Nothobranchius furzeri: one gene and its partners. The protein of the gene in region 4 interacts with the protein of the main gene of each other region in a pairwise test. Links are inferred from orthologs where the notes say so. Each region holds a gene or a part of one and is shown on either strand. Other genes may lie near its edges. The genes, in order: fibrinogen silencer-binding protein, trim23, rpia and atpaf2.

The links.
Region 1: the proteins of atpaf2 (region 4) and fibrinogen silencer-binding protein interact in binary tests that used the Homo sapiens proteins (3 or more experiments, as listed by UniProt). The two-hybrid records come from large-scale screens. The link is inferred for Nothobranchius furzeri from reciprocal best matches to the Homo sapiens genes ATPAF2 and FSBP.
Region 2: the proteins of atpaf2 (region 4) and trim23 interact in binary tests that used the Homo sapiens proteins (3 or more experiments, as listed by UniProt). The two-hybrid records come from large-scale screens. The link is inferred for Nothobranchius furzeri from reciprocal best matches to the Homo sapiens genes ATPAF2 and TRIM23.
Region 3: the proteins of atpaf2 (region 4) and rpia interact in binary tests that used the Homo sapiens proteins (3 or more experiments, as listed by UniProt). The two-hybrid records come from large-scale screens. The link is inferred for Nothobranchius furzeri from reciprocal best matches to the Homo sapiens genes ATPAF2 and RPIA.

Annotation. Positions count from the first base shown.
Region 1 is NC_091745.1:79,028,273-79,036,266, reverse strand, and holds the start of fibrinogen silencer-binding protein, read left to right. Parts: upstream 1-3,067; 5' UTR 3,068-6,859; coding exon 6,860-7,266; intron 7,267-7,994. Other genes in the region: rnf41l (RING finger protein 151), read right to left, coding at 63-268. UniProt on the Homo sapiens protein: Transcriptional repressor that down-regulates the expression of the fibrinogen gamma chain. Represses transcription of GSK3B gene promoter via its interaction with APBA1.
Region 2 is NC_091746.1:63,285,166-63,293,282, forward strand, and holds the start of trim23 (E3 ubiquitin-protein ligase TRIM23), read right to left. Parts: upstream 5,204-8,117; 5' UTR 5,189-5,203; coding exon 5,057-5,188; intron 4,384-5,056; coding exon 4,221-4,383; intron 24-4,220; coding exon 1-23. Other genes in the region: mzt2b (mitotic-spindle organizing protein 2), read left to right, coding at 5,831-6,006, 6,085-6,242.
Region 3 is NC_091758.1:5,544,392-5,552,231, reverse strand, and holds the end of rpia (ribose-5-phosphate isomerase), read left to right. Parts: coding exon 1-13; intron 14-85; coding exon 86-150; intron 151-246; coding exon 247-315; intron 316-1,359; coding exon 1,360-1,501; intron 1,502-2,586; coding exon 2,587-2,686; intron 2,687-4,711; coding exon 4,712-4,809; 3' UTR 4,810-5,025; downstream 5,026-7,840. Other genes in the region: eif2ak3 (eukaryotic translation initiation factor 2-alpha kinase 3), read left to right, coding at 7,041-7,306. UniProt on the Homo sapiens protein: Catalyzes the reversible conversion of ribose-5-phosphate to ribulose 5-phosphate and participates in the first step of the non-oxidative branch of the pentose phosphate pathway.
Region 4 is NC_091756.1:29,841,406-29,849,344, forward strand, and holds atpaf2 (ATP synthase mitochondrial F1 complex assembly factor 2), read right to left. Parts: upstream 4,685-7,939; 5' UTR 4,472-4,684; coding exon 4,354-4,471; intron 4,270-4,353; coding exon 4,225-4,269; intron 4,140-4,224; coding exon 3,991-4,139; intron 3,546-3,990; coding exon 3,448-3,545; intron 2,198-3,447; coding exon 2,117-2,197; intron 2,004-2,116; coding exon 1,891-2,003; intron 1,792-1,890; coding exon 1,676-1,791; intron 1,508-1,675; coding exon 1,370-1,507; 3' UTR 706-1,369; downstream 1-705. Other genes in the region: glucose-induced degradation protein 4 homolog, read left to right, coding at 5,050-5,241, 5,538-5,597, 6,381-6,488, 6,572-6,673, 6,771-6,901. UniProt on the Homo sapiens protein: Plays a role in the assembly of the F1 component of the mitochondrial ATP synthase (ATPase).

The DNA of each region.
Region 1 (7,994 bases), on a different chromosome or scaffold from region 4:
AAACTGTCTCTCAGGTGTTGCACATGAATGAGTAGCGCATCAGCTCAGCTACAGAGACGCACCTGTACAGCGGTTTGAGGCTGCTCAGGTCCAGCGGCAGCCTGTCTTCAGGGCAGGAGTGGTGATGGAGCAGCCAGCTGCTGATGCAGGAGCTGCAGTAGGCATGCTCACAGGGAGCCTGGAGGGGGCGCTCCAGCACGTCTCGACACACACAGCACAGCAGACCCTCATTCACAAAACCCACAAACCTCTCCAGATCAAAGCCCATCCTGCAGCTTCACAGATTGTAGGTTTTACAACGCTTAACTGAAGATTCATGAGTTTTCCTAAGACAGCATTCCTACCTGAAGGGTTCATCCAACTCCTTTCCTTTTGTGTTTTTAACCGCACTTGTTCCTCTGCAAGAATTCTCTTTTATCTTTCTGCTGCTGTTCTCCTTTCTTCATCCTCACTCTTCACACCATCCGAGTGAGCAGATGCTCTCCTGTAAAGCCCTTCCCCAACACAGAGTCCCCATGGGAGAGGTTTCCTTGACAACAAGGAGTCAGGATACAGCCAGGCAGCTGTCAGATGGGAACAGATCAGGTGGACAGAATTACTAAAAGAAAAGGAAACAGTCATTCAGACGAAAACCCTCAAACTGCAGTAGATTGACTCAGTTTCTGCCTGAGAACTCAGGCTGTGAAAGTGACATAGCCTTTACAGATCATCTCTCTTTAATGACCAGTCGTGTTTGAGGATTCTCCCTTTTAGTTTGTCTCTGGATGTGGGATTACCGAGGATTACACTCTCTCCCTGCCTGATTGGATTAAAGAGCAATGAGCCTCTGTCAGGACAAAACACGCAAGGACACGAATCAAATGTTGCACTTTTAAGTGTTTAAAGTAATGCAGTAAGTAAAAGGAGCAAAACTTTTTTTTAGAAAAGTTCTCAATTAAACAGGAACGCTTTGTTTCATGATGATCACACAAATATCATCCCACTATTTTCATTAAAATAAGTGTTTTTGAATATGTAGAGAAGAAGTGAGATTGATTTATAATAGTAAAAGTTAATCATGTAAAGTATGTTTGTACATTAAACGCAATCAGCTATAGTGAGGTATAAATCAAACATACCCTAGTGGTTTTGGCCACGCCTTCCGACGGATTCAACCAATCAGATTCTGCAAACCGTTCAGCGGGAGAAACAGAATCGGACAGATACATTTGTAAGAATTTCGATGACATTTTTCATCTTAAACGTCTTTATGACACTTTAAACTCGTGTTGGTATGTATAACACAACTTGTAACACCAGAAACACACCCGAGTTCAGACCGTTTTAAGGCTGTTAGCCGCGGTTTGCTAATAACGTGTAGTTTGTTAACCCGTCAGAGCTAGCTTAATGTGCGTTCGTAGCTTCAGTGGATTGAGAAGACTTGAGTGATAAAAGCAGAAACCCTAACGTGTAACTAAATCTGTTTAAGGTCGTGTTTGCTCTGTTTCACCACGTTACGGTAGAAAACGCACTTATCGGACAAATATCTATTGTTTGAAAATGCAAAACAAATGTGTGGTTGGGCCAGATTATCAACCAGAAAATAAAAGTTCTGGCATCTGACAAGCGAACGTTCATCAGATACGAAACCCATGAGTAATTAGAGTTGCATATTTGTACTGGCCCAACAGAAATTGATTAGAATTGACCTGTTTTAAATGAATGAAAAACATGAATGAATGAATATTTTTCTGCCGCTGGAAAATATCCATGAATTTCATCACATCTCTGTTGATACATGAATTTTTCTCTCTAGGTTGAATAACAATTTTGAGTTGCCACCTGAAGAATGCGCCGATCAGCAGCTCCCAGTCAGCTTTTGGGCAATGCAACGAAAAAACCTCGCTTTGCACCACCAGGAGCTACTGGTTTGTTTCTTAGACCAGAATCCAAACCTTCGGCCTCAAAACTCAGTCTAGACAACGCACCCGATAAGGCAAGTTTCTACCAGCATTTCAATTCAAAAGTACTTTATTAATCCCAGAGGGAAATTGATTGCTGTAGTAATAATCAAGTCATCAAAGAGTTGTTGTATATTACAATGGCTGTTGGCAGGAAGGATCTCCAGTAGCGGTCAGTGTTGCAGCCAAACTGAAGAACCCTCTGACTGAAGACACTCTTCCGTTGTCGGACAGTCTTGTGAAGAGAATGCTCAGGGTTGTCCATCATTTTCTTGATTCTCTGGAGAATCCTTCTTTGCGTTATCTCCTCCAGTGGTTCAGAAACTGCCGAAACTCTGGCTGAGTCCTTGAAAGGGCTTGGAGTTCCTCCATCTTGTTGGCCAGTGATCTCACATCGCCCGTTATGATCGATGGAAGCGATGGTTTGAATTTCCTCTTTCTCTGTCTCCATTTTGCTCCCGCTCTGCACCCACGCTTCTTGCGTTTTAGCTCATTTGGGATTTGTGGCTTCAGTTGAGGTATTATTTCAGCCTGTCCAATGTTAATTAGCTGCTCCCGATTGTAAACAAATTTGTTGCCATGGTTACGCATCATAACAAATGCTCAAAAAGTGAAAAAAAGCTAAAAAATGGCAGTAAAAATCCTCCAAGCGTCACAGCACCAGAAACAGAAAAGTAAAATGTCCAAAAAATACAGTTTTTCTTGAGAAACTAGAAGAAAAAATGCCCAAGAAAAGGCAAAACTTACATAAAGTCAACAGAGCTACTCCAACATGTAGCCACCCAGAGCAGCGCAGTTCCGAGAAAAAAAAAATCAATTTGTATTATAGTCTGATCTGTATGCTTATCAATTTATCATGTTTTCACATAATTCCACATCTCTAATTCTCCCTTTTCTTTTAGATCCAGAAAAGTCTTTTGACACCAGTAGAGAACAAAACATCACTTGATGTCAGGCCCAAACCCAGCCACACTTCTCCAGCTTTGTCCAAGGCGCTGGCTCGAGTTCTCGGTGCAACAGAGATTAAAGAAAATGAAGCAGAAACAAATGATCCAAGCTCTCGATCAGAAGGTTGTACAGAAAACAAAACTCTATCAGGTGAGATGACTTATAATTCACAACTTTGGTAGTGTTACTCGTACAGATACTTTAGTAATAGAAAGGTGGAAAACATTAATGGGGAAAAGTTCATTTAAGGTAATTTTCTTACTTGCTCGTCAATCTGAGTACATCTGCTACATCAACATTAACTAAATGTGAACTTTATAATGTTTTTGCTGCATGTTTGTCGTCTGCATCGGGTGCAAAATCAGTTGAAACATCACTGAATCTGTATGATTTTGGTTTGAATCGTGTATTTGCTTTTATTCATTTATACTAAACATGAGATTTGTTTGTTACACGTATTCAAATCACTGGGCCGCACACCTTTGAATACAACCTTTTTTATCCACACAAACAAATCTGCATAATTCAGAAACTTCTGGAAAATTGCTGCTCATTTCTGTTACCGTTTCTCTTCTGTACATACCAGTTATCTGGATCATAAAATGTCTATTTTTAGCTTGTATAACTTCTTTACACTTAAGGTGTAAAGCCTATTAAAAACTGCTCTCTAGAATAAGCATAAATGCACATTAACCACAGGAATGGACGTTAGTGAGGTACCATCCACAGGCCAACTAGTGGAAGTGCACTGCATATTTCTTGAACAAAAAAGTCAGATAAACCATCTACGTCTGGATTATTTAATCACGTGTCACCTTTCAGCACCCAGCTCTGAACGTGTACTTCTGTTAGTTTAATTTTATCTTTTTTTAATGTGGTATTTAAAGAGCAAGTCGCCCCCTACCAGAGTATTACTTCCTGTTTGAAAAAATGCAACAAATGCTGTTGCCTAGCAGACTGAGTCGGAGCCGCTAACAAATACACACACACACAGGCTCACAACAACATTGTGACATCATATGGTACCAGCTAACATCATAGGGTACCTCTTGGCCAATAGCGATGGCAGATTTAAATTCAAATGCAGTGCAGAGTTTTTACCTGACAACGGCACAACACTGACAGTTTTAGGCAGAACATTAACATTTTAACTAAAATGCACTAAAGTGCAAAACTATTGACTACACGTGTCTGCAGCACGATTAGACACACATTTATATAGTTTATCAGAAAAAAAGCAGATTTGGGGGTGACTTGCTCTTTAACACAAAGTGAGATGAATTTTGGGTTATGTAGCATCTTAAACAACAGGGTATCCGCGGGTCCTTAAAAAGTCTTAAATTTGCCTTTCCAAATTTAAGGCCTTGAAAATCCTTAAAAATGACAAATAATCCTTAAATCCAGTTTCCAAAGGTCTTAAATTACCAAAGACCCAATAAACAAGATTATTTTATTTCTATAAAAATTTTCATGAATTTCTAGTTGGTGTTCAGCATTTTTTGTGTACGATGTTGGCGTAAGCGGAACCGTACACATTCAGCTGGTTGTGAAAGGGGGCTGTTTTTAGATGAGCACGTTAGCTGGTTAAGCTAGTGGGAGCTTGCGCCATGGGGAAGTGCAAATGTAATGGTAACTGGATGGCTAATCCCACGTTCGCGACGTGGTTAGCACCGGTTCCAGGCAATAGCTGGAAATTATAGCTTAAATTTAATTTTAAAAATAGCTTAAATTTGGTCAAAGTGGCCTTAAAAAAGGTCTTAAAAAGTCTTAAATTTGGCTCCCTTAAACCTGCAGATACCCTGAAACAAGAAGCGGTGATGTTGATAAATAGCAAGCAGAAAAATAAGAGTACGAAAAAGAGTGACACGCTGAGGGTGTGCTGCCTGATGACTCAAAACAAAAACAAAGTATGTGCAGAAACCCAATGATACATCATTACTAATACAATACATGGCAACCAAAAGTGCAATATAAGCCAATACAGGTGTAAATAAAGTACACAACGATTAGGGACCCCACTGCTCCTTATTGTTTAATTGTAATGATTAGTATTTGATGCTTTTTCTATGCTTCAACGTTCTGAGTCTAAGCTCTGCACAATAATTTTTATGTACCCAGACCAAGTGTGTGGGTGTAAAAATGGCTTCTGATCTTAATCTGAGGGACACTTCATCTGAATTTCAGGAGATTAATGAGAAAACGGAACCGTTGAAGTTATTTATCGACCTTTGCACCGACGTCACCTAATCACGTGGGTCCACCATGGTGGACGGCAAAAGCATGTAAACAGTGAGCGACACGATTACTAAACAAAGGGAAAAGTAGAGCCTGAAATTGTTTTTGTGATCAAAACAAAAACAAAACTCCTCCAGCATTCCTTCCACTAGTTCATGCCCAGTTCAGTTAACAGAAGAAGTAGCGCATCTAGCGGTATGCTAGCTAGCTTACCAACGTTAGCTTACGTTCTCTGCAGCTGTTCACCGATGTAAACATGCTGCTGACTTTGCCTACATTCACCCCTCTGGATTGATCACTGCTGTTCATCTCCGTCCTCAGTCTCCATCAAAGTTATTAAAAAGAAAAAACGAATTGAGTTTACATCCTTGTCTGTTAGTGCAGCCGACCACGCAGCAAGCTAAAACCATTTTACTGTCAAATCAACTAAATAAAAGCAATAAAAGGCTCCAAACTGGCTTGTTTTGACTAGCTTCACTGGAGTTTCTATGGATGTAAACGGTCTGCCAGGTGAACACACAATACAAATGTTTGAAGCATTAAAATAAAAACGTGTTTGGCTATAATCTGAAATGTACTTAAATATGTTTGAGTGATTTAGAGTGAGAAGTAATGAGAGCAATTTATATTTTAAAGAAAAAAGTATTTGTTTTTCTTCATGTGGTGATTCAATGGATCATCTCTCACTAGCTTCTGCCAAAATAACATTAAATATAGGAAAGTCTGCGGCCTGAAGACCCGGTTCCGGATCTAAATCTAGTACATCGGAGGAGTGTGAGACAGACGTGGTCTGGTTCTCCCACACGGATCCTCACTCTGGGATTTGTCCCAGCCTCAGCAGCACATGTTCGGGAGATTTCTGGCGACAGACGCCGTTTTGCTCTTGCGCGGCGCGTCTGTTTACTGCACGAATGATGCGTTCAGGGTCCAGACGAAGGACTGCAGCATGTGGGCTGTGGATGAATGCGGGCTCAGGCGGGCTGATGAAAACTCGCGTCGGTTCGGCTCGTGTATCCTCACGTGACCTGAGCACGCGCTGTGTTGATATTAGGTCGACGCAGACTTGAGATTTAATTTGACTGGCTTCCATAGTCCTCTACGAGCATGCGCAGTGCGCCCTGCCCCCTCCCCCGCTCATTTAGTTAAGCCAGCACTATTTCACACAGTCGCCCTGCTTCAGGTGAATGAATCCGAGCGGACCCGATGCGGGCTCCCGTGCAGCTGTACAGTTTCCTCCTGGTTGTTGGTGAAAACACATCTCAGCTTCTGTCGTGTCCGTTCACAGTCAGCAGCAGACATGGTGCTGCTGCTGTGCTTGGTTTGGTTTAGAGAGACCGAGCTGAAAGTAGGTCGGGCTGGACTTAAGCGGCTTAGCTACGTCAGCCTAAGCTGAGAGGAATTCATCCAAAGCCCTCCTCGGTAGGCGGGGGCCTAAACGAGGCTGGCCTAGTTAAGCCTGATTCTTATTGTAAGCAGCACTGCCAGTTTTTCTTGGTTCAGCGTAGCTGTGAGAGGACCCAGGACCAGAGTTTGTAGCCACAGTTCATAGCCAGTGATGGATCTGGACAAGGAGAGAGCCATTTAGTCATAAATTAGAGTTAGGCCTTTGTGCCATCGTGGATCAAAAGAGAGCAGAGGGGATAAAACAGAAAGAAAAGGCAGCTGAGCAAAGTGAGGAGCCACTGAGAGAGGGTCCTAGGCCTGACTGGGACTGTGGTGGTCCACTATGCTATAGGATGGCGTCCAGCGCGGTGTTTCTGTCCAGCATGGTGGGCAAAGCTCGCTCTTCCAACTTCACCCTCTCTGAGAAGCTGGACCTGTTGAAGTTGGTTCGCCCTCACATCCGCATCCTGGAGGAGCACACCAACAAACACGCCGTCATCGTGGACAAGAACAAGTGCTGGGACACCATCGCAGAGCAGTACAACGCTTTGGGAGGGGACAGGCCCCACAGGACCGCTCAGGGCCTCAGGACTCTCTACAAGAGGCTGAAGGAGTCAGCCAAACAGGAAGTGATGCAGAGGAGACACGCCCAGCCAGAGTACAGAGTGAGCATCTCAGAGCCAACCAGGAGGATTATGGAGATGATCCCTCACCTGTTTCACCATGTGCCCATACACGAGAAGGACCAGGTTCTACGCAGGTACAGTGTTAGACTTGTCAGCACGCACACACGCACACACACACACACACACACACACACACACACACACACACACACACACACACACACTTGGCTCTGAAATGTGCATCTCAGCATCACTGATAACAGAAAAATTAATGGCGTTCTACAAGTTTTCTTTATTCTTATTCACAGTTTGCTTTTCTAACTTAGTTTTGATCTCGATCAGATCAAATAAACCTAAGTCACTGTTTAGTATCACCAATTAATCTTCAGTTTTAACGGTTTACTCCAAAAATACACGCGTAACAAGGCAGGTAGAGGGTCTTCGTATAGATGAGGCTGTGACTGACAGCAGATCTAAGAATTTCACCGTTAACGAGGCCAGACAACTATGAAATAGTAAATTCAATTCAAGTTTATTTATAAAGCGCCAAATCACGACAAGAGTCGTCTCAAGGCACTTCACATAATAAACATTCCAATTCAGGTCAGTTCATTAAGCCAATCAGAAATAATGTTTCCTATATAAGGAACCCAGCAAATTGCATCAAGCATATACAGCAATCCTCATACTAAGCAAGCATAAGGCGACAGTGGAGAGGAAAACTCCCTTTTAACAGGAAGAAACCTCCAGAGAATCCTGGCTCAGTATAAGCAGCCATCCTCCACGACTCACTGGGGATCGAGAAGACAGAGCAGACACACACACACACACACACACACACACACACACGCATGCACGCACA
Region 2 (8,117 bases), on a different chromosome or scaffold from region 4:
TAGGCCCCAAACTCCAGAGTCCCCTAAGAAGACGTGAAGAAAGACGAACAGATTATATAAATAAAATGACCAAACATCCCTTTCATATTATGCATTGTATTTACTGGCCAGTGGGGGGAGCAACTTATATATGAATAAAAGTATCGGTCTGCTGTAGTCGTTGACTGGTTCGTGGGGCACAGCCTGGACAGATCACTGGTCAGGGTGTAACCCACACAGGGACACACAAATGGAGGGGTTTAAACAGCACCAAATCACAACGTAAGTCGTCTCAAGGCACTTCACAAGGTTCACAACCTACTTATCAGTGCAGAGTTCACTTCATTATGCCAGTTTCCTGTGTAAGGAAACCCAGCAGATAGCACTGAGTCACTGACTTGTTGTGTTAATTCAAATTCTAAATTCAAAAATACTTTATTAATCCCAGAGGGAAATTGATTCAAGTGTTTCAGTAGACAATTCCAAGACCAGACATACATACATAGACACTTAGACTTATTTAGAGACTTAAATAAGTCAGACACCTAAATAAAGTTCATTTAGAGCAGGGGTGTCGAACTCGAACTCACACTGGGCAAAAATGAAAAACTGGGACGAAGTCGCGGGCCAAACTCAATATTTTTTAAAAAGTGACGACAAATGTGCACATTTTCCTTTATCTGTAGATAAGAACGGTTGAACCTTTTTATTTGGAAACAAACTCATTTTTGCAGTAACACTGAATGTGGAATAACCAAATGACACACGAGCAAGTCGATTTTAAATAAAGCAACCACCAGTGGTATTCATTACTTATGTCTCAAATTTAAAAAATATATTTTACTCCTTAAAATCTGCATACATTCAGCATTTCTTCTTATTTTTTCTCTTTTGAGTGTTTCTATTTTATGTTTTCTGGTTTATTTTTTACTCTCCTTTGTTGCTCCTGTAATGAACGTTATTGCTGCTGTGACACCAAGCTTTCCCCACTGAGGGACAATAAAGGGATTTTCTATTTTATTTCTATTTCTATTCTTCTATCTGTAATCTTTCCTGTTTTAAAGTAGGTTTAATTTATTTTCACAGGCCAACAACATAAATAAGAATAGTAATTCTCTTAAATGAAAATGCAATATCTCACCTATTAACTTTCATGCTTCGGAACAGAAAAGGTTAATAAAACCAAAACAATTCAATCCCAGTTTTCTCCACTCCGATTTCCTGTCATGCTCACCTGTTCCAGCCTGACCTGCATCTGTGGGGTTGGGCTCTGAGCTGAGGAAGGAGTTCATCAGTGAGAAACAGGTGCTCACACAGGTTTGTGCTGCTGGACATGGAGAGCACCTGGACCACGCAATTGTGTCGGGGAGGGGGATAAAAGCTGCAGCAGCCACAGAGTCATAGTGACTTGAGCGTGTCGCTAAACTGGAGTTAAGTCATCTCGGTCTGGAAGTTGGTCGGTGCGCTTTCTATTGTCAGCAGCAAACATTACTGAGCTGTTAAAATCCATTTCTGAGCTTCAAAGTCGACTAATTACGGATTAAACTCAGCGCTGAGTTTTTCTCCTTGAAGCATCAACATGTTCCATCTTTGTTGAAACACCCTTCCTCCTGCATCAATCTCACTCTTCCTGGACATTTTGGGATAATGTGTGGAGTTATTTTCACTTGTTGCATTAATTAAACATGGAAGTGGATACACTGCAACCTAGTGGTGAGTCATTGCACTGGGAACACAATCGCCATGCATTATGGGAAATGTAGTTTATAGTTGATGTGCGCTTTGAAGCGGCATAGACCTATTTTAAGACACTTGAATCTCTCGCCCGCCGGCCTTGTGTCGGACACATGTGATTTAGAGCATTATTATCCAGATGCTATTAGTCAATGTAAAAATACATTTAAATTAAATTAAATTCTGCCACGACACTGGGCTGCCCAAGGATGTGCCTGACGTTAAATTAGCTTTACTAAGGACAAATATTGTCTGATGCTGATGTATAAAAAAATGGTAGATATCGGCCTGATATACTGGTCCACACACACACACACACACACACACACACACACACACACACACACACACACACACACACACACACACACACACACACACACACACACACACACACACACACACACACACACACACACACACACACACACACACACACACACACACACAAATCTTTTGAGACTTTTTTCTCCCCATACCTACTGACCTGGTATGAGGAGTGCACCCACTTTTCATCACAGAGTTGGCGGAGAAAACCAACTACAGTGAGGGGAGCTGTGCTAACCCTGGCTGTTCCGAGCCGCTTTTGGCTGAGTAGCAATGTTGGGAAAAGGGTTAAACTCCCTTTGTCCTTCACTCTGTGAGCAGGAAGGTGAAACACTCCAGAGCATCCAATGCTTCCTCCCCCAGCCAATCAGTGACTGGCAGTCCTCTGACGTTGCGTTTTTCGTCCCAGTTTGGTACACTTGGAACCACTTTGAAGCAGACAAATAAAGGAGCAGCGACCTGGTACCCGTTACTAGTGAAACTGGGCTGAATCGAGTGGAGCTCTGCTTAGAAGGTACTGAAGGAAAAATCTACAAGTGCAACAGAGAACATTTACACCTTTGTCCAGATTCAATTCAACCACCTTCAGAGTTTTCAAGATTTTCCAGCACCGTACAGTCATGATTTCCACACACATGGAGAGACGCTAAATGGACAAAATTATTGTCTTGCTGAATTTCATTATTGGTCTAAAACTCATGCACGTCAATTGGATATTTTTAGCGATGTCCCAATACGACTTTTTCACTTCCGATACGATATCGATGTTGCAGCCTTCAGTGTTGACCGTTACAGATATCAATCTGATACGATATCAGCACAAATCATACTTTTACCCGTTTCCTAATGTGGAATGTATGAAAGGCTTGATCAACTGATATTACTCAACTGGAGAACAACAGCCAATAACAATAAGTATGAAAAATTTCTTTTGTAACCATTGGTTGCTGTAGCTGCCCCTGGCACCATGAAGAAAAGAACGGAGAGCCTCGACGGGTGCATAAACTTTTATTCGTTTCTCTGGTCCAATGCCTTGGACTTCACTCCATGAGTTGCACTGTGAAAACTGTTTAGAGATATACAAAGCATAAATAAAAGGTGAACACAACTTCGATGTCATAACAGAAATGAATTATATTCTCACATTTACCTTGCTCCACTGGCCAAGGATGCTAAACAAACCAATAAGTCCTTAAAGCTGCTTTATCTGTAGATTTGAGTGGGGATGGACAAGAATAACAAACAATGACTATAGAGTGTCGAAGTAATAACCCAAACAAAAGCGTCAATACAGCAAAACTTACGTGGGGATGCAGTCGGCACTGTGCAGCTGAGGTGAATTTAGACCAAAGACATAATTTCAACACTTCAAAAGTGTTATCTTCTCTACAAACAACTTAACCCAAGCCATTTTCTCTGGAAGGGTGTGGCTTATATAAAATCTGTGAGCCAATTAAGAGTCATTGCCATCAGCTGCTCATCTGGCAGCTACAGTTGCAAAAATGTGAACCTTAACGAACCGCTTTTATAGGAGACTTTTGATGCCATCCGATATAATCCGATACAGTGTTTTTGGGCTGATATGGAATGACCTCCGATATCGGAATGGGACATCCCTATGTTTTACTTTGTGAAGTGCACCAAGACGACTTGTCGTTATTTGACGCTTTATAAATAAACTGAATTGAGTTTCACTTTCCAGTGTCAGCACCAATGCATGACTTTAAATAACGGAGATGTTGATGTAAACAAATACTGCAAGACTACACAAAGTTTTAGGACAAAGTCAAATCAAACCTACTACGAAGGAAGGTCTGGATCTGAAATGTGTTCATGTTTTATTTCCCTACATTAGACTGTTTTCGATTGTGAGCTCTTTTCTCTGCAGCCTAACAGCATATTTGCATCTGCCGTCCAAGAACCAGTAAAGTACACCCTGCATCTTATGATGACTGTGTATTCTCTGTGCTTTGCCACTCCAAGATAATTTCAGTCAGGAATACCACTTGGATGTTATGTTACTTCTGAGATGAATAGTTGTTTGTTTTTAGTGATTGAAGAAATATTTTTGTCATTTTCCCAGGCATCCTCAGAATTTGTTCAGTTCAATAAAATTCTACCAAATGTTGCAAATCTGCATCCTTCTTCGAAGGCCAAATTATGTTATGTCCTTCACTCACCCAGCTCGGTGACCTGTCGGTCAAAGGGGCAGCGGACCGCTCTGCCGTGGAGGGGCAACCGGGTGAGACAGTCGTGGCACACGGTGTGGCCACAGAGCAGAAGACGGGGGACCTTGTCACCTTGGAGGGAGAAGACGTCCTCACACACACCACACTCCAGCACCTGCAAGTGACAGCACAGCTTGAACACTGCCTGTCTATGTGTCTGTCTGTCTGTATCTGCTGCAAGGTGACTTCCACACTCAGGATCACGCACACTTGTAAGGAATTTTAATTTGTAACTTTAGGTTTGACTTGATGCAGAAAAGCAGAGGTACTTGAAAAATAGTGATGAGATAAAAAAATCCCAGGGTGTTGCAGTCACTTTGACATAGTGACTCCCAAGGTAAACATCACGAGACGCTTTGCCCACATTTTATTCTGTAAACTAAAATTAATTCTTCCAACAGCTGCTACTGTACACCCTTATAATGCACTGACTAGCTGATTGCTTGTTTTTGTTTATAAGGCTGCAGCGATCAGAAACTTGTGCTAATGCCAACCGGCGGTTTTCGAGCTGGTGCTAGCTCGCAGCAAACGCTTCTTAATGACAAACGAGTCTTCTGGAATGCATAAACGGCTACAATAACATGATGAAACGCGTTTGCACAGCTATTACACTGTCAAAATCCGTATTTGGCACCCACTGCGACCAACGCCAACGCAGCAGCCTTAGCTTCCAACTAGAAATACATCAAGCAAGTCTGAACCAGCGGACATTTATCACCAAAGCTAACCAAATAATATGTTCACAGCAATAACGACCTAGCTGCGGAAATTTGTGACATGTTTACGACCTTCACGGTGCTTCCACTGGCTCCCCTCCCGTGCCGGAGACAGGTCTCCATCGTCGCTCCTGCGCCCTGCTTGTTTATTCCTGCTGCAGCGGCGGCCATTCTTCGACGACGGCGAGCGAGAGAACTGAGCATGCGTGAGAGGATAATCCCTCAACAACTTCCGCGGTGTCAATTTTGGTATACTTTTTGTAGTAATTTTGTAACCCACGTTCACTAAATAAATCGCATAGTGATAAACAACCGATAAATGACCCGCATTTGTATAGCGCCTTTCAGAGTCAGAGGACTCTGTAATTTCATTCTTTTAATTGTCTTTACTTTTTACCCTTTAAACCATATAAGTCCGTGGTTGAAACGACCACCAAGCAGCTTCAGCTTTTTTTATTTGTTATATAAATCTAATGCTTTGCTTAACTGGCTCAACTTTAATGTTTATTTACTCGTTCAATACATTTATCGAGAACAAACCACAGGCTTCTAACTACATGTCCCATCATGCTGCGTGAACGTTCCGTGATGATGACGCATTTTCTACGCGCCGTGTTTACAGAGAGGAGTTGTGGATATAAGCGGGATTCTACACGCTAAAAGCTGCGGCTTTAACGGTATAAACACATGTTTGATTAAAAACGTATTTTTTGTTGTTTATAACCTGTTTTTATGTTTACTTACCTTTCAGTGAGCGGTTGAATTTCGCCATATGTTTATTCTGCGCGGCTAACGTTTTATGTTCGCGCATAAATGCCATTTTCTCACCACTCAGGTGGACTTGATATGTCTCAGCCAACACAGCAGACGGGGCCATCTGCTCCTGACTTCCCTGCTCTGGTGGTCACAGCAAACGTGCAGAAATATGCCATAAAGAAGAAGAAAATCCTGAGTGCTGAAGAAAGTGAGCTGTTTGAACTGACTCAGGCTGCAGGCATCACTGTGGATCAAGAAGTCTTTAAGTGAGTGAACCGAGACCGGTAGAAATGTGGTTCTTCACGCGGCGAATGAGTAAAGGATTCGTTTCTGCCCTCCTGTAGGATCATAGTGGACCTCCTGAAAATGAACGTGGCTCCCCAAGCGGTCTTCCAGACCCTGAAGGCAATGTGTGCAGGACAGAAAGTAGCCGACAGCTGCATAGAGGCTTCAGTTGTCTCCCACACAACAAACACCACCCCAGCACCCACCGAGGTCAAAGGTCAGTGTGTAAAAACTGGGCTTTAGTTTTGAACTTCAAGTGTTACTCCAGCATGGAGGGATTCTCTTGCTGATGCAGTTAAAAATCGCACTTGTACTGTGCTTTTCTAAGTCAGGGACTCCAAAAGTGCGTTACACTGCAGTCAATAATTCACCCATTCACACTGATGATGACCCACCAGTTACCGGGTGAACTAACCCCTGAGCCACCATCAATTTATATTGGGTGAAATGGTTTTGTGATCAGTAGTTTCTAGTGTACCCATTTCAACTTGATAAAATAGTTACAGTAATAAAATATTTATTTTTGTCACTGCTGATCGGTTCACTTGTCAAAACAGAAGATACGCAATAAATAACTAGTCAGCAACAAGAAGCAGATATGGGCGGCCATGACGGAATGGGGGTAGATCAAAAGGTGAGCCGTTCGATCTCAGCCCACTAAGCCTCAGGTACGGGTCAAATGCAGAGAATGTCCAACAGAAAGATAAAAAAGTATAAATTATTATTATTATTTTCATCATATGAGTCACCCGACCATCACTAATGCCTGCTATGTTAGTCAATGGTACTTAGAAGTGTGTAATTTAGCAAAAGCCAGTTAGGGTTTCTAATCCCATTTATGATTACATTAAAATAACAGAAGAAAACAAGTCATGGTTAATTAAAAAAACTAATTCAATTTGTTGTGGTTTAACATTTCCATTCAAAACTATTTTAATGTGTTTTTGTTCTTCCTCATGCTAATTAGGGTTGTCACGGTGTGAAAATTTAACCTCACGGTTATTGTGACCAAAATTACCACGGTTTTCGGTATTATCGCGGTATTTTTTTAAATGTGTTACATTTCCACACAACTAAATAAACCCTGTATGTCAGGAAATATTGTCCTCAGTTTGTGTCTAAATTTTGCCTAAAATATGTTATTTTGTAATTATGTTGTTTATTTGTTTACATTTTTCCCCTTTAGTCTTTAAAATACCAATATTTGCCCATAACTTATTATTTTTTGTCTGTTTGATGTCATCATTTTAAAAATATTAGATCAGATGATACTCAGTACTCAAGTAGCCTTCTAATCAGATACTTTTTTACCCTTACTTGAGTAATAAACCCTATATCAGGAAAATATCGTCCTCGGTTTGTGTTCTTCCAGTGAGCTTTGCAGATGTGGGAAAATGTCATCAGGCAGTAATCATTGTTAAATTCATAATTATTGTCAGAGAGAGACCAACTCTTATCTGCCCCTGGGAGCCCCGTAATGCATAGCGTCATTTCAACATGGGGGTGTCCGTGACACGGTTTATATGCAGGTAGCGGCGCTGCGGCTGCTTCATATAGCGACTCGTTGCATTCTCCCTCAACCCAAATCCTCGGATCACGTATTTTAGCTAAAACGCTAACGTTAGCTTGCCTTGCGTTGACTGTAGAGTTGTGGGTGATGGTCATGCAGATGTGTCATGAGATTTGAAGCATTGCTGCCTTTCACAGACACTTTTTCTGCACGTGCTGCAAACAGGATAGCCGTCTTCTATCAACTGTCCCTCGGCATTCTTCAAACATCCAAAAGATGCCCGTACTTCCCACTTTGTCTTCTTTGAGGGATAATAAATGTCATGAGCGCTGCCGTCTCCTCCTTTGGCCGTTATTTCAGCTTCAGCTTCAAGAAAGTTTTGGTTGTAAACAACAAAGTGCGCATGTGCCGCCGGCAACTTCAGCAGATGATACGGTGGCTGGTAAGGGTCACCGCGCCTACACCGCAGCCACGGTAACCCACCGAGATAATAGATTTTTAAAAAAACAAGACGGTTATTATTATTGTCAACTTTTTTACCGGGAATTACCGCTACACCGGTTACCATGACAACCCTAATGC
Region 3 (7,840 bases), on a different chromosome or scaffold from region 4:
CAGGCACTCCGAGGTATGATGTGTTTACAGCAAAGAGCTGCTGCAGAAGTTCATTTTTAATGCTGTGCTTTTTGCCCTGGCTCAGCTGGACATTGCTATTGATGGAGCAGACGAAGTGGACTCTGAGCTCACACTGATAAAAGGTGGTGGGTGAGTATGCAGTAAAAACACACACACACACACACACACACACCCCTCAGGCCCTGCTGAATGATGTTTCTCACTAAATGTTCCTCTGTTTGACAGCGGCTGTTTGACTCAGGAGAAGATCGTTGCTGGCTGTGCGAAACGATTTGTTGTTGTTGCTGACTACAGGTCTGTATTGACTGGTTTACCTTTAGAGTTTAAAGAGCAAGTCACCCCCAAGACTCGGCATCTGTGGCCTCGATCCACTCATGAGCCATTGGTCTGGAACGATGAGGCTCAGGGCTCCTCTCTTCCTCCAAAATTCTTCCTCCCTTTCCGTTCTTTCCTCTGGCGAAGGAGATGCAGATAAAACCTCCCATCACAATTGACTGCTCAGTGTTTCCCTTAGAAATTTTTGCAGTGCATGCCGGTTAGATTCGTGTCCGACTTGACGCCGACTTGCTCTGACGTCATGCATACGTAGGCAGCGATAACCTCGTGAGATCAAGGCGGCTGCAGATTTTGGAGCAAGGCGCTGCAGTTGCTCTCCACCGGCTGCACAACCTAGGGCATGGCGGGAAACGCCTGGCTCTCACCTGATCTAAGATCTGATTGGTTCCCATTTTGATCCAAACACCCTGTGGTAGAATGTGAAATGTTAGTTGGTCACATGTATTCTGTAAATCGTGTTACGTAGATGCTGACAACTATGTACGCCATACAGAGAAATGTGATTTTCCTTTACCACATTTCCTATAAACACTCTAAAAACCTGCAGCTGACAACCTTTACTTATTAATACAGTCATGTCTTCCTATGCACATGTCTACAGTATATGACATCCACAAGCACGTGAGGCTGTGGTTCAGTTGCTAACAGGCACCAGAATTTGACACTAGTATGAACTCTAGCGTGATATCTTCAGCCATCGTCGCCTGCATAAGGAAATGTGTCTGACTTAAACGCCGGCTTTCAGCCACTCCCCCTGCTGCGTCCGTCTGCTCTCGTCCGTTTTCCAGGTGAGGCGCTGCTCATCTCGGACAAAGCCAGTGCCTCCTTTTGGCTCAATGTTTCAAACAGGAAGTATGGGTGGAGTAAGACACTAGCAGGGTGGTGACTTAATCTTTAAGTTTTTGGATGGAGGGTTTGTTACCATCAAACTAAACAAGTCTGATTTGTGTTTTGGAACACTTTGTTGTCCTGTTTAACATTTGTGTTGATTTCATCTGTCAGGAAGGACTCTAAGGCTCTAGGCCAGCAGTGGAAGAAGGGAGTTCCCATTGAAGTTATTCCCATGGCCTATGTTCCCGTCTCCAGGATGATAGTTAGGCGCTTCGGAGGGGAGACTGTCCTAAGAATGGCTGTCAGTAAAGCAGTAAGGGACCGATTCACACACCTTCATTTTTTTGTCTTTCACGTTTTTTTCTTGACTGGAGAAGCAGAAGAATCTCCGGCCGCACAGTTTGATCAAGGTGTTGATCCTGGAATATCCAGGGGAGACCTACTCCAGCAGTTCTTCAGCACAGGTCCCACAGATTGTGTGTCGGCCACTAGTGATTTTCTTTCTCTGCTGTGTTTAAACAGACTAACATCTACAGGACCTGTCCTTCCACATTGTTGTATTTGTTGGGGTTAAATAATCTGCGGTAATCCTTCAGTGTCCTTTTTTAATTTGGTTAGGCAGTCAACTCATTACCCCTATTTCACACTGGAAGCATTAGCAGCTTGGAATGGCAGCGGATTGTCACGGCCTCAAATATAATTCATTATAGTCTAAAGTGGTGATGCCGACCAGCCGCGACGCGGGCATTTTCAGGTTTGTTCCAGAAGCGACATGCCACGCCGCTAAAGATGGGATCAGGTTCTTTACCACAAGTGGCTTCTGGGGCACATCAGTTTCTGCAGTTAGCATGGGGCAAGACAGGAAATCACACACGGTTTCAGTGTAAACCCCCCACCCCGGTATTTTCAAAATAAAAGACTATTACAGCAAAGTAATTTCATATCTATGTGGAGTACATCAATAATTGTGACGTAACGGCTTATTTACTCCCTGAATTGCTCCAGAAGTGCAGCAGTGTGTTTTTCATGGCTTTCGTTCTGCAGTGGAGAGGAACAACGTCATAAATGCTATCAAATGTCATTTCCTTCTTTTTGGCCAAATGGCGCATGGCATTAACAAAATGTGAACCATGAAGTATTGAAGGAATTTGTGATGTTGTGAGTCCAGTGAGGAGCACAGCGAGGAAGCCGTTCCGTGGCCAAGGCTCTCCCAGCGCGTGCTGGACCGCATTGAAGCTTGTGAGTAAAACGTTCCACGGCCATTCCGCGCTGCTGGAGTTTCCAGTGTGAAGTAGTGGTTAGGAACCCTCTGTAAAAGGAGCTGCCATGTTTGAAAAGACTATGCAGACCAAAGTGGTTGATGTTATTAAAGTCAGGTGGTGTGTTTGTGGATTTCAGGGTCCTGTCGTCACAGACAACAGCAACTTCATCCTGGACTGGAAGTTTGAGCATGGTCAGAACTGGAAGGAAGTCAACACTGCAATCAAAATGATTCCTGGTGAGGAACTTTTATACTGTTTACATCCCGCAGTGGTGTCCAGCCCTGGTCTTATCAAACTTGTTTTAGTTGTTTCTCTGCTCCAACACACCTGATTTTAACTCATTCACTGCCAATGACGACTAAAGCCGTCCTTTACATTTTTTGCTGTGTGGGCATCGGAACGAGCCCCCGCACCGTGAGAACAAACATCTCAGCTCTAAAGCCGATCTTCATCCTCATATGTCACACGTCACGTGACCAGGAAACAGAAACTCCACGTGTTAGGAGTAGGGTTGTCACGGTAACCGGTGTAGCGGTAAACCCCGGTAAAAAAGTTGACAATAATAATAACCGTCTTGTTTTTAAAAAACTACATTATCTCGGTGGATTACCGTGGCTGCGGTGTAGGCGCGGTGACCCTTACCAGCCACCGTATCATCTGCTGAAGTTGCCGGCGGCACATGCGCACTTTGTTGTTTACGACCAAAAGTTTCTTGAAGCTAAAGCTGAAATAATGGCCAAAGGAGGAGACGGCAGCGCTCAGGACATTTATTATCCCTCAGAGAAGACAAAGTGGGAAGTACGGGCATCTTTTGGATAATTGAAGAATGCCGAGAGACAGCTGATAGAAGACGGCTATCCTGTTTGCAGCACGTGCAGAAAAAGTGTCTGTGAAAGGCAGCAACGCTTCAAATCTCATGACACATCTGCGTGACCATCACCCACAACTCTACAGTCAACGCAAGGCAAGCTAACGTTAGCGCTTTAGCTAAAATGCGTGATCCGAGGATTTGGGTTGAGGGAGAATGCAACGAGTTGCTATATAAAGCAGCCGCAGCGCCGCTACCTGCATGTAAACCGTGTCGCGGACACCGCCATGTTGAAATGACGCTATGCATTACGGGGCTCCAGGGGCAGATAAGAGTTGGTCTCTCTCCGAGAATAATTATGAATTTAACAATGATTACTGCCTGATGACATTTTCCCACATCTGCAAAGCTCACTGGAAGGACACAAACCGAGGACAATATTTTCCTGATATAGGGTTTATTACTCAAGTAAGGGTAAAAAAGTATCTGATTAGAAGGCTACTTGAGTACTGAGTATCATCTGATCTAATACTTTTAAATGATGACATCAAACAGACACAAAATAAGAAGTTATGGGCAAATATTGGTATTTTAAAGACTACAGGGAAAAAAATGTAAACAAATAAACAACATAATTACAAAATAACACATTTTAGGCTAAATTTAGGCTAAATATATATTTTTTAAAAACAAGACGGTTATTATTGTCAACTTTTTTTTTTACCGGGGTTTACCGCTACACTGGTTACCGTGACAACCTTACCTGATCGGTCTGCTTTGATCTATTTTGAAAATTCCGATCAAAACCGATAGGGGCGCTATCGGCCGATTACGATCAAATGCCGATCCATCGGTGCATCCCTAAAACTGAGGACAATATTTCCTGACATACAGGGTTTATTTAATTGTGTGAAAATGTAACACGTTTTAAAAAAATACCGCGATAATACCGAAAACCGTGGTAATTTTGGTCACAATAACTGTGAGGTTACATTTTCACACCGTGACAACCCTAGTTAGATCGTTTTTGGGCCGCTGCTGTAAAGAAAAGTGAGGCGCAAACTGGAAAAGCTTCTGCCGATCACAATTGGTCAATTACAAAAACGGATTATGAAAGAACAGATATCGTTTGAAACGTGCAGATTCTCCCTGATGTAAGAGGCGAGTCTCCTCTTTGTTTTGGTAGTTTTTACGTCAACATTATCCTAGCGCGCAATGTTCTGTGCATCTTAAAATACAGTAAAAATGGTGAGAAACGCTGGCAGCGAAGGGCTTTACCGATCAGGAAATGGCTGGCAGTGAATGAGTTAATCAGTGGAATCAAGTGAATGTGAGCCGAAAAACCACTAAAACATGCTGGCTGGTGGGATGGGATAACTCTTGTTTCTGAGTTTTTGTGTAATGTGATAAAATAAAAATCCATGTTTACGTCAGGAGTTTGTGCGTTCTTTAGGTGTCGTAGAAACCGGGCTCTTCGTGAACATGGCTGAACGAGCATACTTTGGGATGGAAGATGGAAGTGTGCAGATTCGGGATGCTCCAGTCAACTGACCAGTTTGCCACACTCATGGGTAGTAGAGCTGCAACTAATGGGTTACCTGTTTAATAGATGACTCATCAGTAATTTTACATCCTGATGAGTCATCAGTTATTTAGGGGATTCCTGCTGTCTGTGGATCTACCTGTTTGCTCCACCTGCGCATGGCACCCTGAGTCTGCAGCATAAGATATTTCTACAAATTAATTCATGAGCAGTGAAACTGATGGATGTCCAGCCAACTGAACACCAGTTAGAGGTTTGCTCTGAAGGTTTTCACTGTAATTGCAAACATTTTGCTGAACCTAAATCTTACGGATCATACACTGACCAAAGCTACAGCCCTAGCTGTCGCTCCTTTTAATTGACCAAATCTGTTCCACGAGAGCCGTCGTCAGGAATTATTGCCTCAGAAAACACCAAAGCAAGAAGAAACATCGGAGCTGTTGACTTTTCCCGTCCATGCTTTTGATTTGATGAGTTTTAAGTGCCTGATGAGGAAAGTCGAGTCCTACTGCTGTAACAGAGAGCTTTGACTGGAGGGACGTATGATCGAAGTTCTTGTCTGGTGAAACAGTAGAATGAAATAAAAGCACGCCTTTTAAAAGCTCCCATTGATATTCTGTTTGTGTAATGAAGGACCAGTTTTCAGTTATTCGATCATTACAGTCCCGGTCACCTAAACCAGCATAAACTGGTGCAGCCTTGGAGAGTATCCTGGTTTGGTGTGACAGCGATAAACCAGAGGAAGCTTTCGGATAAGGAAACAACTGGAGGAAATGATGCCAAAACAAAAAGTGCAACACGAAACTTCAGGTCTTCCTTGAATCGTCTGCGAGTTTGAGGTGTTTTGCATGTATTTGTGTGTTTTCTCATGTGTTTTTTTTACCTCCACCTTTTAGCAGAAGTTGGGACCATGCCATTAGGTATAAGCTTATACCTGCCTTTATGTTACTATGGTGTTAGGTCACTGGGTGTCTAGAGCCACTTTACACTAAAGTTTCTGTTGTATAAACCAATGTCAGCTGCTGTTCCGAGCCTTAGATGTTTTTGTTCTACCATCTTTAACGTGTTCCTGTGGAATTGAACTAGTCAGTCATTAGGATCGAATTCTGAAGCCTCGGTGTTTGTTGGAGGAAAACAGACCTCAAATGTACTTGTACACCTTTCCCCTTTGTATGACTTCAGTGTTCAATGCCTGTAAAAGACTGCCCAGTGTTGTGCCATACTCATGCTTATAAAAGGATTGATGATTAAAGTGTCTGGCAGCAGTGTGTCCATGCAATCGAAAGGCCACATTTCCTGTGTCTGCGTTCGTCTCTCAAAAATGAGGTCTATTCGTGAAAACGTGGTTCAGGTCCATGCTCACCACGAGACAGCAGCGCCGTTACCTGGTAGGACTATAAACTCCTCATCAGTAACACGGGCACGTAAATGTAGGCTAGGAGCGTGGCTTCATAAACACGTTTCTTTGCTTGATTTGTGTCACAGTCGCTGCATTTTAGTGAAAGTGTAAAACTGAACTCGTAACCGGAAACAGGAACTGCACCGATTACTTCCACCGGGCCACGTTGTTGTTTTTCATGTCGACGGCTCTTGACAACTGCGTCTAAGCGACAGCTGAATTAACCAATCAGGTGCTCACATGAGGTCACTCGAAACTGATTTAGGCCAATAACATTACGTGATTTCATTATCTTTTCTGTCATTGGACGAACGACTAAACATCCGACCAATCTCAACAACCAAACAGATTTTGCCCCCGGGGACTTTTTACGTCACTTATCCAGTGCGCACGCGCACCTGTGACGAACAGGAGTTTAGCCAATGAAACGGAGTGTTTGGAGGCCGGTGTTTCCGGGTCCGCCTCTTTGAGTGACGGATATCTAACGCAATCATGTTGTGCTTAGTAAGCGAGGACGTGTAACTGACAGCGAAGTACGCAATGAGAAACGCGCGCATTAAAACGCAAGGCCCGTGCGGGTTTACGGTCCAATCCCGGTGTGGAAACGAGGCGGGATTTAGCGTTACTACGGAAAGTCTGGGTCTAGTATAAAGAGAACAACATGGTGTCCCAGAGGCTGTTTATGTTTACTTAAAGAGCTCGTTCAGCGGGGCGTCCAGCACGCGACACTTTTATAACCGTAACCTCGGCTCTTTTATACTTTCACCTTGTTTTTATACTAACTTTTACCAGGGCCGTGGCGTGTGCGTCTCCTCTTTCACTAATGTGCCAGTTCTACAAATGGAAAGGGGGCTTCACTTTGGAGTGAGCACTTCCCTGCTGCTCCTGCTCCTGCTGCTCAAAGCGCCCACCGGTTCCGGGACCTCACCCGGCTGGGTGTCGGGCTCGGCAAAACATGGTCCGAGAGTCATGGAGCGGGGCTTGGAGAGCCTAGGCACCCCCCCGGTCCCCGGTGCAGACGTCACCGTGGAGGACGACGAGAACGGGTCGACAGGTGAGGCCGACGACCCGTACGAAGACGGTAACGGAAGCGTCCGCTCCACAAGGTAAACACGGTGCTAGCTGCTGACATCCATTATCGGACACGCTCGTTTCCAACTTCAGGTGACTTGGAAATTACTAAAAGTTGACGGCTTTTACTTTGATGTGTTTCACCGACTTTCAAACCTGCGACGTGAAGGCTGACGTGACACCTGTGTTGTCATGGAAATGCCCAATAACGTGAACGCCATGAGCAGAAAACAGGAAGGTGCTGTCTGTGTCCGATAATCGAGTCACGTTAAGTTTCCCGGAGCTGCGGTTGTGGCTGCTGTGAAAAGATGGATTTTAGAGGTCATTTATGAACGTGAGACACCTCAGCGCGAGCAGGAAGTTCTGGTTCAACAGAACAGAACAAAAGCAGGACGTCCCAGGTGAGCTGGGACAGAGGTTTGTTTGTTTCTGGTGTGCAGTAAACACCAAAGCTGTCTGGTGTCAACAGCAGAGGTGCTGCCAGCTGGAGCAGGAATCACGTGATCTAATGGCTCCAGCAGATCTAAACATCTCAGGCTGTCAGAGGGAACGTCCAGGTGAACGGTCCA
Region 4 (7,939 bases):
CCCCGCCTACAACGGTAATATGATTGGTCAGAATATCCAACACTGTAATCTGATTGGGCAATGCTGATGTCCTTCAGAAGAACTAAATAAAAGGGTCCAAGGGTTAAGATAATAAAACAGTTCTGTCCCAGAACATTATCCAATGTAAACTAAATAAATAAAAAGTTAATGAATAATGTGTGCGCTTTTATATTTTTGTTTTAAAAACATTACTGCCTGAAATGCAACCTCATTTAACTGAAAATTAAAAATCAAGTTAACAAAGTAGATGAATGTTGATTGTCTTTTGCATTTTTAGGAAACAAACTAAAAATTCTAAAAGTCTCAGCAAAGTACACAAATTTAAAGTCCTCTGTGTGAATCAAAAGGAACGTCTGAGTCGTAAACACCGAGTATTTTATCCATGCAAAGCAGTTCTTTTTTTCCAGTTTGTGGTGCGGGCCACACATTTGTGCCTTTGCTGGACCTTTGAAGAGAAACTGGCTGAAACTAAAATCTTGAGTAGATTCTGAGATCACTTGGATGATATGGTCAGACCATGTTTAACCCTAAAAATAATTAGTAAAACCTTAAAACTTTTTTAAAATCCCACAAAACTACAAAGGTGCTGGATCTAAAATCACGTTTACATTTTTTCTTACAACTCAAAAGTCAAGCTGATGTATTCTGAATATTTGTAGTAAATGAAGACAAAATGGATCCAGATCCAAGTCAAGTTAAATTTTATTGATACTATAGCACATTTAGAGGGCAACAGCCATTGCCCCAAAGAGCTGCACACAAAATACATTAAAATGAGTCACAAGGGGGAAAAAAACTAAATTACAAAAAACTAAAAGCAATAAGTGCCATAAATGAAACCTAAAACCTGAAATCTGATCCATAATTAAATTGAACAGGGATGTCTACATTTATTGTAGAAAATTATTCAGAAATGCAAGACAACCATTGTTTCTGTTTTTTTCACAATAACCATCATTGGCACACATAATGTTGCTTTATATCACAATGGAAAAAGCAAAAACAGAAGGAACAGACACAAACATGTTGAATGTGTTCTTACAGAAGTATAATCCTACTCCAGAATGTTTGTTTTAATCTGAGAGAGCATTTCTCACACAGATTTTATAAGAACAAGCACTGTTTTTATAATGAAGAAGACAAAAGCACCATCTTCAAATGTGTGTTTGGGTCCAGCAAATGTCACAAGTGATTGATGACCAACTAGAGACACAGCTGCCACATACAAACACCATCCAGCAACAGAGGAAGGGGGACCTCTACAACATCACGTTGGTTTCATGTTAGATCTGCTGCAGGTCGTGGAACATGATTGTTGCTTTAAGCTAACTGGTAATCTGAATCGTCATCAGTCTTGCATGAGCTTGTGTTTGATGGTTGAACTCTCAGATGAGAGCTGAACAAAAAGAGCTCCGGCGGCCGTCCGTGCCCTCAGCTCATACATGTCGTAGTCATGGGCCCACTCCACATTTCCCCAGCGCCGAATCTGTCAAAGACACAAAACGAGAAAAAAGAAAGCTTGAATGTTTTAGCAAGAAGAACCCTGCTTCAACGGTTCTTTGGGCACTAAGTTAATGAGACTCAAGTTCATACGACCAAAACCCACCCCACCCCGCAGCAAAATGAAGAAGCTGATGTTTTTGGTAATTCCTACCTGGTACTCCTCCTCCAGTCTGGAAAGCAGCACAGCTTCCTCCACACTCAGATGTCTGTCGATCATCCCCAGCGACAGAATTACAGATTTCAGCTGAGTGATCACAAACTCCAGTCCTGCTCGAAAGCAACCAGACAAAAAGTGAAGCTCAAAGTCACCACAAAAATAAATAAATCACGATCCCTTTAAAAAAAAAAAACATCTGGACTTCGTACCTGTCATGGACCAGAGGTTGTAGGAGCTCAAGTGTTGCCTGAATGTGTCTTTGGTTGCTTCTGGAATCTCAGGACCCAAAATGCTGGACGAGGATCCAACAGTGACATCGTACCTGCCATGCGGTCATGAAAGATAACCATTTAGTGCAGCATCTTGGCCGGGAGCGTTTGGATGGCTTTAACACAAGCAGATCAGCTCTGATCACAACAAAATGCTGTCTGTCACCTGTTTTCAATCCAGTGCAGCACAGGGTCCCACTCATTCTTCTGGAGCTCGACCAAACCTGGAGGCTCATCGACTCTGTAACTACACAAAACAAAACAAATAGTACGAAACTTAAAACTAATCTGCAAACAGCCACCATCAATGACAACTACTAAAATATCTAAATGACAACGTGTCTTTTCCTAATTCATTTAGATCTGAACTTTCTTGCACCTGGTTTTATGAAGGCTATTTAACACCTGGGGTAAAACTGACAGCATTTCAGGAAAAAGACATCGTCCCTGCAGTCAGACAGGGTGGTGGTAGTGTGATGGTCTGAGGCTGCTTCCTTAGCAAAACATCCTGAAGAAGAATGTCTGACCTTTGACCTTAAACAGGTAATTCATGCTGGAAAACCCTCCAATGTGGCTGATTTCAGTTTCTGTAACGAGCAGCGGGACATAAATCTTTCACAGAGATGTGAAAGCCACATGTGCTTGATGACAGCTGCTGGCTCCAAGGGTCAAATTGGTTTGGAAAGATTTAATTCTTTAATAAATGGAATCACTAATTGAAAAATGCATTTTGCATTTACTACAATAGAAATAATCAGGTGTCCACTTGCTCAACTGGCCTGTGTGCATTCACCTTTGACGGATTATGAAAATCTACTCTGCCATTCATCTGAGCTCAACTGTCTTGTGTTAAAAGCAGTGATGTATAAATATTGGTATAATGACCTTTGATCCTTACTGGATGCTTAGTTTTCCTGGTTTAGTTTCAGTTAGGCCTGGGCGATAATCAAATCATCACCCAGGCCGAATTTGTTGTTGCTGGCGATTAAAGAAAGCAAATCAAATTTTTATGTAATAGCGCCTTTTTGGCCCCCCGGAGCTTCCGTAGCATTAGTTTCACATAACCGCGACAACAACGTCACAGCACGTACACGGATGTGCAACAGCAAGTGACTCCATGGCCACCGGTGAGAGTGGGAAGTTTGTTCCTACGAGAGGAATTAAATCATCCCTTGTATGGAACTGGTTTGGGTTTGCTGCGACGGATGTGGAGCTTGGCACTTTTATTCCAAGAGGGTGATCATTTATTCATTATTCATCTCAGAAATAAGGGTAACATTTCTCTTGCTTGTGATTAAATACAAAACAAAATTGGCTTTAAGTTGCCTTCCATTTGTACTTATTGCTATTCTTAATAATTGAGGGGGAGAGAGAATCGTAAATCAAATTTAAAAAATAAAATCAGAGATTTTATTTTTGGGCTGTATAACCCTGCCGTTGTTTCAGTTATATAAACAAATGTTTTATCTGATATAGATATAAAAATAACAAGTTTACCAAACGGTGTCTGTTTCCAAATACTTCAGAGCAGCAGTGATCATCTGGTCCTTGTTGCGTTGAGTTGGATTGTCCAGAGCTGTGTTGCACAGAGTCGTCTGCAAGAAGTGTTTAGCAAGAACATCAGATCCATGATTCAGTAACTGACAGGACATAGCTATAAGCATGCATACTGTATATAATCCATAAATGGACACCTCACACTCAGCTGGACAACGCATTTCCTGGAATGTACCCTTATTACAGAGGTGAAGTCACTCGTTGTATTTAAAATTTATTTTCTCAATCAATCAATCAATCAAAATGTATTTATGAAGCGCTTTCCATACAAATGCTGCTCAAAGCACTTTACAATATTAAAAACAACCCAGCAGCCAGTTTCCCACCCCTCCCACACAGATTAACATAAGAGATCCCCTTTGTATCTCCGTCCTCCCATCCTCAATCCCGTCCCAAGCAGATGCAAACTCCCGCACACACACGCACACACGTAATAGAGAAAGGGCAGCTGGCTGACAGCTTTATGTGTGCATAGCCAAATACCAGATGCATAGTGTAGAACTTGAGCGTATCCTTCTGAGCATCCCACTCTGTTGCCACAGCGACGGCCAGGGCCTCATTAGGCACTACGAACAGGTTCCCACCTGGAGTTTTCAGTTTCCTTCTGTCAAGGTTTATCTCGTAGAGACCACCTGTACAGATTATTATTGCTATTAATATTTAGCACAACCATAAGACAGAATGATGTAAACACAGGAATGGAACATTTCCTCTTACCTTCACCTTGGGAGATGCTTACATCTTGATAAAACTTCTTCCTCTCTGGTACACAGCACAACATCGCAAAAGAAAACAGGGTTAATGAAATCGTCAGCTAAACGGATTTACTAATATTTTCCGTCTAACCTGATGTGGCGGTGGAATACTTCCGCGTACAACTGGAGTGTTGATGCCTCGGGCACACGTTGTAAAGAGAAATAACACTTCCAAATGGACTCTTGAGTCTAATAAGACTTCTAAACATGGCTCAGCGACTTTGGCGTAAGGCTAATAATAAAACAGAAACAAATCGCAAAGCTTTTTCCCACCGTTTCTCACTTAAAATAGCGCAACATCGTAAACGGAATGACATTTACATCTATCATTTACAGACTGTTTGCAGTTTTAGCATTTGTTCTCGTCTCAAGCTCCGGCGTTTCAAGCACGCTGGCTGACCTTCTTTGCGAGTTGGTTGACAGTGTCGTAAACTGTTTACTTTAGTGGGAAATGTAGTTTTTTTAGGAGCCTCTTAGTCCCTTTGCGCTGCATTACAAAAGGGGGAAAAACTACAACCAAATAGTCACGTAAATCCTTCTGCACGTTCAGCCAATAAGCGTTTAGAATCTTCGTACGGCGAACTCAGTCGACCAATCAGAGAGGTGAATGCTCCTGGCTACAGCACAGCAAGTCCACTTACTTCTCGAGCAGCTTGGTAAACTGTGCTACATTGGAATTAAGTGAAATTTGAATATCGGTGAGCGTATTCAGTAAACATTTAGCTGTTCGAAGAGGCGAACACAGTGTTTTGACCGTGGTTGGTGCTCAGCCAGCGAAGTGGGAGCCATGCCCGTCCCTGCTGGATACATCAGCGACTCACCCGCAGCGGCCTTCACATCCTCGGCCTCACTTATCCCGCCACCCCCTATAAACACTCAGCAGCCCGGCGTCGTCACTTCGCTGCTGTACAGCGGCTCTAAGTTTCGGGGCCACCAGAAAAGCAAAGGGAACTCCTACGATGTGGAGGTTGTCCTGCAGGTAGGAATTGAAGCGTGTATACAGTCATTAATGTGATGTGTCAAACCGACCGTGTGATGATTGACAGCTGAACACTCTGTCCTACCTGAATCAGACCATCATCAGTGTTGTACTTGGTCTCTAGTCAATTTTCACTAAATGCTGCTGAAAAGGTGGACTTTTTGATATGATTTTCAAAGACCAACAGGCTGTTTTAGCATGTTTATGAAACATAATCATGGGATCCATACGAATGTAGATTAAAGCACGTTTATTGCTGACTTGGATGATGAAAATCTTTTTTTTTCTTCTTAAAGCATGTCACAATGGAAGATTCCTACTTGTGTGGCTACCTGAAGATAAAAGGGCTGACAGAGGTGAGCAGGGACACGAAGTGTTTTGTTGCTTAAATTTGATTCATACTGAATTTTCTTGCCTTTAGAAAGAAAACTGTATTTCTGATTTCTCAAAAGGCCTACATCGGTTTAATCCACAATTTTCTAATTCTAGCCCATGCATGTATTTGAAATGAGACTGAAGAACTTCACCTATTAAAACTGTATTATTTCAGTTTCGCATCCTTTAAATGGCAAAGATCAGTGAGATGCAGAATATACAGATAAATAAACAAGTGCTAGATGGCTGCTTCCTGATGGAGCAAATCATTGCCATAACACTTCTAGTCTGTATGTAGTTCTCTTGAGTCTTACCTCTGCATCAGGTTTGTCTAGATTAATTGTTAACAGAAAACTATATTTTTATAAGTGTAAAGGTTACACGTAGAAGAGTGGAAGAGTCAGGATATTTTCCTGGCGGAATAAATTAGTTTTTAACACTTTACCTCTGCAGAAATCTCTGTTTCTTAAGATTATCATCTCTTTAGATCAGTAGCTTTAATTTAGGTAATGGAAGCAACATCAGCATCAGATAATTAAGGAATTTCCTAAGATCCGTTCTTGTTGTGTCCATCTGGATTCATGGTCAGACTGCTCTTGTTTTGTCTTTGTGACTAATTAAATATGAACTCTTTGGTGATCAACTGTAACCCTGACAGAATGTTTATTTCTTATTGAAACTGAACCTGGCAGATTTGCTGATACTGGCTGTGATGTTCTGGCATTCCCAAACTAAAACAGAAATCAACTCGCCCGTTCTTCTAGGAATATCCAACACTAACCACGTTCTTTGCTGGAGAAATCATCAGCAGGAAGCGGCCGTTTCTCACTCGGAAGTGGGATGCAGATGAGGATGTAGATCGTAAACACTGGGTAAGGTCCAACTTTATTCCCAATCTGTAAAAGTCATCATGACTAAACAGTATCATGGCGAAGTTGACTCTTTTTATATTTAGGGTAAGTTTCAGGCTTTTTACCAGTATGCAAAGATATTTAACTCGGACGAGTTTGACTACAAGGATCTGAAGAACTCTGATTATATTTTCATGAGGTGGAAGGTAAGACGCTACCTGGATGTCACCAGACCAAGTTCCATGCCTAAATAAGTTATTCTTATCTGCTGCTGGCGTTCCTCCTCTCCTTCTCCTCCTTCAGGAGCAGTTTCTGGTTCCAGACCACACCATCAAAGACATCAGTGGCGCTTCCTTTGCTGGTTTCTACTACATCTGCTTCCAGAAATCCACAGCAACAATTGAGGGTTACTACTACCACCGGAGTTCTGAATGGTAACGCATCAACACAAAAGGGATTCAATCTTCTGACACAATGGTTTAGGGTCTTGCACTTTCATCGTTCTGCTCTTTCAATCGCCTAATAGACCCTTTTACTGTTCGTAAACCATATGACGTCAGCGAGAATGCGCGCGCAGCTTGGCAACAGAGAATGGCGTTGTTTCAGGCTTTATCAAGCTACGCTGCGGAGTTATCACCGGCAAATCTTGAATGTTATATTATTAAACTCACTTTAACGAATGACAACAGACTCCCGGATCCCTGTGGCATTACGGAATGGGTGGAAGATGTAGGTGCGTGGCCAGATATCCAGTGGCCCGATATATATACGTTTTTAGTGGAGAGGCCCAGTAAGTACACACGTGAGACGCTACGGGCATACAAATGGTTAGATGCATACAACTATGTTGTCTGTGGCCACGTACAGAAAGTAAAATATCACGACATAGACTCTGAGTTTTGCGTCTTGAAGGCAGAAGTCCTTCCTAGCCAAAGACAAGGACACAAGACTGCTATGTACGAGGCTTGGGTCATAGTAAACAAACCAGAGATCTACGTCTTCACAGCCAACTGTACCTGCATGGCAGGGTGAGTATAGCATAGGTTTCTTTTTTTAGCGTGCTCAGAGTACAATCGTGTTAATTTTAGAGAAATACAGTTTATACTAATATGAAGTGGGAAAATACAGATGAATTAGAATGAAATGTTAATTTGAAGCATGAAATAAAGCATATAAATTTGTTTAATTCTGTCATTTTGATGTTCCAGACTTGGGTCATGCTGCAGCCATGCAGCAACAATTTTATTCAAAGTTGAGCTCTGTGTTAGGATGGGGAAAACAGAAAAGGCTGCAGTTACATCTCAGGCATGTGCATGGAAAGACCTGAGCAGGAAAAATGTAGAACTTCGGAATTCTGTAAAGTTTCAGTCCACTGCTTGAAGAGAAGCTATTCTGGCATCCATACACGCAACAACCCGACATTTTTATGTGCTCAGAACTTCAAAACAAAGGGTTTAAAACGCTGTTTTAGT